Ovis aries: one gene and its partner. The protein of the gene in region 1 purifies or fractionates together with the protein of each later gene. This does not show direct contact. Links are inferred from orthologs where the notes say so. Each region holds a gene or a part of one and is shown on either strand. Other genes may lie near its edges. The genes, in order: MPHOSPH10 and IMP4.

The links.
Region 2: the proteins of MPHOSPH10 (region 1) and IMP4 purify together in Homo sapiens (affinity purification with mass spectrometry; 3 studies listed by BioGRID and IntAct, with this or other methods). This does not show direct contact. The link is inferred for Ovis aries from reciprocal best matches to the Homo sapiens genes MPHOSPH10 and IMP4.

Annotation. Positions count from the first base shown.
Region 1 is NC_056071.1:25,153,805-25,157,617, forward strand, and holds part of MPHOSPH10 (U3 small nucleolar ribonucleoprotein protein MPP10), read left to right. Parts: coding exon 1-150; intron 151-711; coding exon 712-866; intron 867-1,330; coding exon 1,331-1,502; intron 1,503-3,764; coding exon 3,765-3,813. UniProt on the Homo sapiens protein: Component of the 60-80S U3 small nucleolar ribonucleoprotein (U3 snoRNP). Required for the early cleavages during pre-18S ribosomal RNA processing. Part of the small subunit (SSU) processome, first precursor of the small eukaryotic ribosomal subunit.
Region 2 is NC_056055.1:114,189,099-114,193,435, reverse strand, and holds the start of IMP4 (U3 small nucleolar ribonucleoprotein protein IMP4), read right to left. Parts: upstream 2,911-4,337; 5' UTR 2,862-2,910; coding exon 2,859-2,861; intron 2,714-2,858; coding exon 2,605-2,713; intron 804-2,604; coding exon 720-803; intron 14-719; coding exon 1-13. Other genes in the region: CCDC115 (coiled-coil domain-containing protein 115), read left to right, coding at 3,631-3,741, 3,821-3,924, 4,013-4,095. UniProt on the Homo sapiens protein: Component of the 60-80S U3 small nucleolar ribonucleoprotein (U3 snoRNP). Required for the early cleavages during pre-18S ribosomal RNA processing. Part of the small subunit (SSU) processome, first precursor of the small eukaryotic ribosomal subunit.

The DNA of each region.
Region 1 (3,813 bases):
TTCAAGCTCTCTGAGATGGAGACCTTTTTAGAAAACATGGAAAAGGAAGAGGAACACAGAGATGACCAAGAGGAAGATGATATTGATTTTTTTGAAGATGTGGATTCCGATGAAGATGAAGGAGGACTGTTTGGAGGCCAGGATCTTAAGGTAAAGTTTGGGGAGAGGACAGAGTGTTCTTTCTGCTTCATCACATGAGATGGGGTTCTGTTTCTCCAGAAGAGGGTTAAAAGACTTCAAAATTCACCAGAGGATCAGTGAAATATTTAGATCAGTTTTTTTTTTTAAAAAAAGAAAGGGACTGGAGAAATTAAAGCAAAGCCATCATTTCCTTATCATGAAACACTCCTTTGTAGCTTCAGAATCACAGTCATCCATGTTACGGAGATTCAGAATTTTCCCTCAAACATGGATTTTCACCAAGCACTAAGAATAAGAATGAAAGAAGATATTTGTATACTTTATGTAGTCAGGGATGTTTTGGAATTACTTGTAGTTAGAAGATTTTGAGAGAAGATTGTGGTGCTCTGTCTTACCAGTTATAAATGAATCTGTGCTTCTGTTCAGTTTGCTGTGGTCTAATAGTTCTTAGGGTTTTGTAGTAGTGTTATTGTTGCCGACTTCCCCTATACAGTATGCATACACATTTATGCGTGATTTAATGTATTTTTCTATCCTTGATTAAAGGTTTTAAAAGTATTTTTGTTTTAGTCAGGTAAAAGTTCCAGAAACCTGAAATACAAAGATTTCTTTGATCCAGTTGAAAGTGATGAAGATGTAGCAAGTGTCCACGATGATGGGAGTGAACTGGCTTCAGATAAAGAGGAAGAGATTGCTGAAGAAGGAGAAGAAAGCATTTCTGAGACGTGAGTATTTTGAGTCCTTTACGCTGTAAGCTGGAGCTGCCCAGTCATCTGTGTACTACTAATCATCAGATGTGATTGTCCTTAGAAGTGGGATTCTCTAAGGTCAGACAGTCTCAGAATAGCCAGAGGAAGTCTCCAAATTTGAAGGGACGTCAGAGACGACCTAGTGCAAATCAGTGTGACTGGCAGTAGCAGGCAGACCTTCCTTACCAGGAGCTCTGATATGTTTTCTGTGCCAATAAAAATACCCTGTTGTTACTTAGGTGAGATAAGTCTGTATTATAGATTGATAAATAATTTGTTTTCTAGATATTGGATACTTTGTTCTATTTTACCTAAATACTGGAAGTTCTTAGTATTTAATTGCATTGTCTACAAAAGAAATTTAACTGCTAAGTTTGTTTCTTTTTGATATTCTAATGAAAACTGGTATGCTTCCTTTCATAAGTGTTTTGGTCTCATAGGGATGAAGATGATGACCTTGAAGAAAGTGGAGACAGTAAACAACATAAAGAAACCTCGAAAAGAGTGACCTTTGCTCTGCCCAATGATGAGGACACTGAAGATACAAATGTCTTAAATGTACAGAAAGACTATGATGAAGTCAAATCCTCTTTTGAAAAAAGACAAGAAAAGGTAATAATTAGCAAATTTAAGGGACTTTTAAATTATGTTTAACAGTGACTGTTGAACTCAGACTACCAACTAATCTGCCCTGGTTTTCTGTGTGTGTGGATGGCAGGGGGCTTGTTTTTTTTGATGGTACACCTAATTATCCTTTAAAAAAAAAATCTTGTTGCTCTCTGTGGCAGTGCTTCCACGTGGGAAGCAGCCAATTTACAAAATTCAGTGCTGCCTTTCCCCACCTGTCGCTTTCAGTATGGAGCCCATGTGTAAAACTTGTTTCTCTGGCCTTGCTGTCTTTATACCTGAGACAGGTTTTTTCCTAACTGGCTGTCCTATGAGCCTCTCCTGGTAACCGCTTCAATTGCTTGTATCGGAGAAGGCAATGGCAACCCACTCCAGTACTCTTGCCTGGAAAATCCCATGAATGGAGGAGCCTGGTAGGCTGCAGTCCATATGGTCGCACAGAGTCGGACATGACTGACAGGACTTAGCAGCAGCAGTGAGGTGCCGTGCAGCCAGAATTCTAATTAATAACATCTCAAACACATTTTCCAAAGTTGATAAAAATTATTTCCTTATGACATGCTGTCAGACAAACAAAATGTTGTTTGAAAATAATAGATATAGCCTGGCTCCAGACATTGTGCTTTATCATTTAACTGTCTTAAAATTATATCACACAGCTTGAAATGAGAATAAGTAAATAACCAAAGATATCAAGGATATCAAGAACATTATTTTAAAAAGAGAATCTGAGTTAAACCTATGATTATCAGATTGTTCCTGAAGAGAAAGTCTTTAAGGGGAAAAAAGTGAAAGAAAATGAGAAATTTGTCCTTGAATTAGTGACCTTCCCTTCTTACACTGCCACAAAAAAAATAAATAAAGTGGCTTTAGTTTACTGGGGAATTGTATCTGGCCTTCAAGAAGTGGATAATTTAGTACTGTTTGATCATTTCCCTCATATGAAGAGTGAAGCTTCCAAATTGTCTTCTTGTGAAACTATGATTACATGAATACCCAAACCTGACAGGTAACCTTGTAACACGCACAGTCTCATTTGTGAATAGTGATGTAGAAACGCAAAATAGTGCAATGAAAGAGTAACGTTACCACAGCTGTGTGGGCCTCATCCTCTTGATTCAGGATTAGGAAATCTATTAATGTAACTTAATACTTGTTACAGTGGGTTAAGGAGAAAAATCATGTAGTCACCTCCATATGTGTCAAAAAAAAAGACATTTAGTAAAATTCAATATTCATTCCTAATTTTTTTTTTTTTACTTTTAGTGAAATATAAGCGTATCTAGCCAAAATCTGCCATCCTGCTTACTGGTAGAATTCTAGGAACGTCCCTTTAAAATCAAGAGTTAGACTTATTTCCATTACCACTGTTACTATTTCCACTGTTACTTAAGATTCTTATAGAAGTGTTACTCAGCCAGGGCAACTATGAAAGAAAACACTAATAAGAGATGAGAAAACCGAAATGAAAGCTTTCATATTTGGAGAGAGAACTAGAAAAACCAAGCAGGTGAACTAGAAAGCTATTAGGAAAAATAATTTGGTATGGTTACTGAAAATGCTATCTTCTTGTACACAATTAAGTCATTATAGATGCCACCTCTTTAGACATTAGAGATAATTTGGATTGTGGGTGTGGATCAAGGGGGTAGTATATACGTGCTCAGTCGTGTGTGACTCTTTTGCCACCCCCTGGACTGCAGCCCGCCAGGCTCCTCTGTTCATGGCATTTCCCAGGCAAGAATGCTGGAGTGGGTTACCATTTCCTCCTCCAGGGGATCTTCTCAACCCAGAAACTGACAGGTGGATTCTTTACCACTGAGCCACCTGGAAAGCCTGGAATCAGAAGGTTCAGGCTCCATCAGATACTGATGCTTTGATAAAAAATTACTTAGTCTTGGAATGCCCTAATAATTAAGTTGATAGTGGCTTGTGAATAAATAAAATAGGTCAGTTTCACTAGAATAGAGCCCAGAAATACACCCAGATGCTTCTGGGAGAAGTGAGTAAATACTAAACATAACATTTCAAATGAGTGCGGAAAAGAGGTCATTTACAGCTCCTTATCCTACCTCCGGATAGGTGTAGAAGTCACTATTGCCATCCTTAAAAAATGCAAAGACAAAGCGGGATTTTTTTCAGAAACAATGCATTTCTTGCTCTCCCGCTAGTAAAAATATTAGTTGCTTTTACTCACCTGTATGTCTGTTTCCAAATGTGTGGTAACTCTTCCTGTCTCTTTCTCAGATGAATGAAAAAATTGCATCTTTGGAAAAAGAGTTGTTGGAGAAGAAAC
Region 2 (4,337 bases), on another chromosome or scaffold:
TGGTTGGTCACACCTGTGAGGAGCGTGAGGCACGAGAACACGATATTGCCGAGGGAAGCGAAATGCTAATGCCCAGCGGCCAAATCCACCTAGAACAACACTGTCTTGACAATACCAGCAAGAATGGAAATGCTCTGTACCTGCTCTGGGCAACAGGGTGGCCCCTGGCCAAACTGGCTACAAGCACAAGTGTGATCGAGGAACTGAATCTTTATATTTGATTCTAGTTCATTTAAGCTCTGGTAATCACATGGAACAAGTAGCTACCATGTTAGCACAAGTCCAGATTCTGTTAAGGCCCAGAGTAACAGACTCCTTTACCTCACAACAAATATTTATGCTGTGATTCCTTTCATATTTGTTGAATAATGCAATGAATCAAACATCTGGATACCAATGAAGTACTGGTAGCTGGGGACACAAATGAAAATAACGACACTGTTCTGTCCCAGCAGAACCTACATTCCTAGTGAGAGGGCCAATTAACAGACAAAACGAAGTACAAAGTGGGGTAATACTGTGCCATGTAAACAGAACTGGGAGCACTCAGTGAGAGGTCCCCTGAGGTGTCATCTGTGCACAGCCATGAGGGTGCCTGGAAGACCGTTTCAGGATCAGGAGCTTCACAGCCTTTCTTCAAGGTGTCTCAGGAATGACACAGAAGTTAGTGGACTCAACTGCAGGAAGAGAAGCTGGCCCATAGAGTCAGGGAAGGTCACCTTCACCGCCGGCATCCTCAAACTCCAGAGACCCCTGTAAGGCCAGAGCTTCCTTGCGTAACTCGGTGGGAATCAGGCGGTTCTCTGCAGGGGGAAAACAGAGAGGTTGAGAAAGACATGCATAGAACCTTCAGTTTTTACAACACTGTACAGACTTGATGGAAAAACACCCCTTTACTCGTTTCTGAGCAGAGAGCTGATATGTAATTAGAGGTGGAGGTGGTAATGAAACAATTATTTTTGGCTATATGCCACCTTGTTAAGAGTGTTTATAGATGATTTCATTTACTATGGGTCCTGAGTGTCAAGACTTGAGAGGTTTCTAAACTATGTACCCACAAGTATGCATTCCCTTTGTAGTCAGAAAAAAATTAACAACGTTAAAAAAATAAATGGAAACTACTCATTCTGTATTAAGGTGGATCAGAAACCCTCAAATCCTCTGACATTAAAATCATTAATTGTGATGCTCTGGGTCAGAGGTTCCCTCTGTGAACTAAGGCTAGATTTGGCAGAACGGCTGGGCTGTGTGGCCATGCCCACTTTGGAGCATGTCCTTTGAACCCAGAACTTCTAACATACCCTGGACAAACTCTTGCACACTGAAGACAGTGTTCACAGCAGCAGGGCTGACCCAAACTAAAAATAAGCTGTCCACCCCCAACAGTGAATTGGATGAAGACCCTGTGGAATATTCACCTGCAGGAGCCTCACCTACACTCAATGTATCTTAGTAACAATGCCAAACAAAAACATAACGTGGCAAAAGAATACACAAAACCTAATACTACCTAAAATCAACCAATGTGATTTAGTATTACAAACAAGCATGATACAGGCAAAAAAGAAGAGGAAGGAAATGGCTTATTTTTAATCAATATTCAATACTGTGGTTCTCTAGGTCGGCGAAAATATTTCTGAACTTCAATATATTTATCAGTTTCATTTTTTAACATGAGTAGATAGGTCATTACAGCAGGAGCTCAGTCCCAAGGGGATCCATGGGCAGCAGTCTGCCAGGTTCCTCTGTCCCTGGAATTTTCCAGGCAAGGATACTGGAGTGAGTTGCCATTTCCCACTCTGGGTTTGAACCCACACCTTTGCATCAGCAGGGTAGATTCTTTTACCACTAGCACTGAGAAGCTCTGTTTTACATTATGCTTGACATAAATATACATATACATACCACAATACTTTACATGTCTAAAACCTAAGACAATCAAAGTGAATTTAAAACAGAGGTATTGAGTTGATGTACTATCAGGAAACAGAGCTCCACCAACACAAGAACCAACAAGATACATATAAATAAAGCATTTCCAATCAGGCATGTGTGACAGACTGCTTTAACAGCAGGGCAAATGGAAAGTGGGCAAAATATCGCAAAGTTAAATTCCTAATTTACAACGCAAATAAAATCAAGTTCTACACGAATTAACAGTTTTCAAATACAAGGGACTTGTAACAGTAGTAAAAGACAATCAGATATTACCTTGTAGTGAAAACAGGTAGCAAGAACAGAAACGATGCAGGGGAAATAGGTATAGGACCACGTGAAATGTTTAAATCTGGAAAGGCCTAGACACTGCAACTTAGCGACTAAACAACAATAAAGACACTGTAAATAAAATTAATAAGCAAGCTGTAAAATCTGGATACTGTAACATAAATGACAAGTAATTCATACCATCTTGAAAGGAACATTTGCAAACCATGAGGAAGATCGAACAGTTAGGAAAATGGCCAGTAAATACGTGAAAGGATACTCACCACCCTAACAAAGTAAACGCTAATTAAACGCGTTTTACAGCATTGGGGCCTGTTTCTTGTTGGGTTTTAAAACTACGGTCTCTAGAAAAGATCGGAGAGCGGGGGACACACGTACCCTCAAGCGCGCGCCGAACCTTGTCTTTCCTCTCCTGGGCCGTTCGCTCAGCCTCCTCTCGTGCCTTGCGGTACAGGTACTCGCGGCGAAGGCGGGCCTCGCGGCGCAGCTGGGGAAGAGCGGGCCCATTCAGACGACCCGTTTTCGCCAAGCAAAGCAGGCTCCAGAAACATACGCCCCGACCTCACCGGCCACAACCCCAGCTTCCACGAGCCCCCGACCTCCAAAACAGGAGTTTAAAACATCCCTCCTACCATCCTGAGCGCAACTTCCACGTGGGTCCAGGAGAATCTTTGGATACCGCTTGCGCAACGCAGTCCTCGCTTCCGCCGGCCTCACTTCCGCCCTTAATCAAAAGTCGGTACAGACCTCATCGGATTCCGCTGATTCCTACAATGCCCGAAGTTAAAATGGCTAACAGGTGGGAGTCGATTGGCCAGACTGAAGGGCGTGCTCACTGAAGCAACCAATAGGCAGGATAGGGCAGCAAGGTGCTGTCACGCGCTTAGACCGGCAGTTAATAAAGGCGACAGCCCGGCTTCACTACCTACCGCGAGGAGGCGAATGTTCGATTTGAAGGTGAGGAACCCCTAAAATAATCATAACTGTAGGCTCCAGCAGGTGTAAAAGCTGTTCAGCGATTGACCAGATGATCGCCTACTCGCCCATTCTGAAATTAAAGCCGCCTCTCCTTTAAAATGGACGCCTCGGTTTCATCGCCACTCCGACAACCCTACGTTTAAGTCGCGGCCGCTTCCAGAAGTGATTCGGAGATACCCACAGCTCTTGCCGACTGTCCGGGTGGCTGGTCCCCTTCGGATGCTTGCCTGACGAAGGTTATCACTTCCAGGGTCGCAGCTCTGAGGCCGCGCTGATCCTGAAAAGCGCAAAGCAGCCAGCCACAATCCACCCAAGACTGGGAGCCCCAGAGAGGGCGGGCCTCGCACGCCTATTGGCTGTCCTGCTAGGCCGGCGGACACTGATTGGGCGACCCGTCAGGAGCCGGCTCTCGACCCTGCGTAGCAGATGGCTTCTCGGGATCTGCGGGCAGAGCTGGACTTTCTTCTCCTGCAGCTCCTCGAAGACCTGGAGCAACTGGAGGCGAAGCGGCAAGCGCTAAACGCCCGGGTGGAGGAGGTGGGAGCTTCGGGCGGGAGGGCGGACTGGCCAGCGCACGGAAGTTACCTTGTTTCACCTCTCTCTTCTCTCTTCCCAGGGCTGGCTCTCGCTCTCCAAAGCGCGCTATGCAATGGGTGCCAAGTCAGTAGGGCCCCTGCAGTATGCGTCCCACATGGAACCCCAAGTCCGCGTCTGCACCGGGTGAGGAGCCTTGCATGCTGCAGCGGGTGGGCGGACAGAGGGCCGGGCCGGCGCCGCCAAAGGTCCAATCTCCCTTCTCGTTCTGTAGCGAGGCTCAGGACGGACTCCAGAAGTTCTGGATGGTGAGAGCCGGCACCCAGACTCCAGAAGAAGTGGGATCCCGCGAGGCAGGTGAGCTCCCCCTCTTCTTCCCGTCGGGTCCCTTCCCATATAAAAGATAAAATGCATGGGACGTCTGAGGAGATGATTTTATTTAGGCTGTTGCGATAGAGCGCGCCCCAGTTCTGAAGATCTGAATCTCTCAGCAGAGCGGGTTTTTTGCCTTAGATTTATAGGGGGAATAGAAAGTTATGAGTGAGTCCTTTACCGTTAGAACTGTTTTGCAGTCAGAGGAAGTCTCAGCTGAACAGATG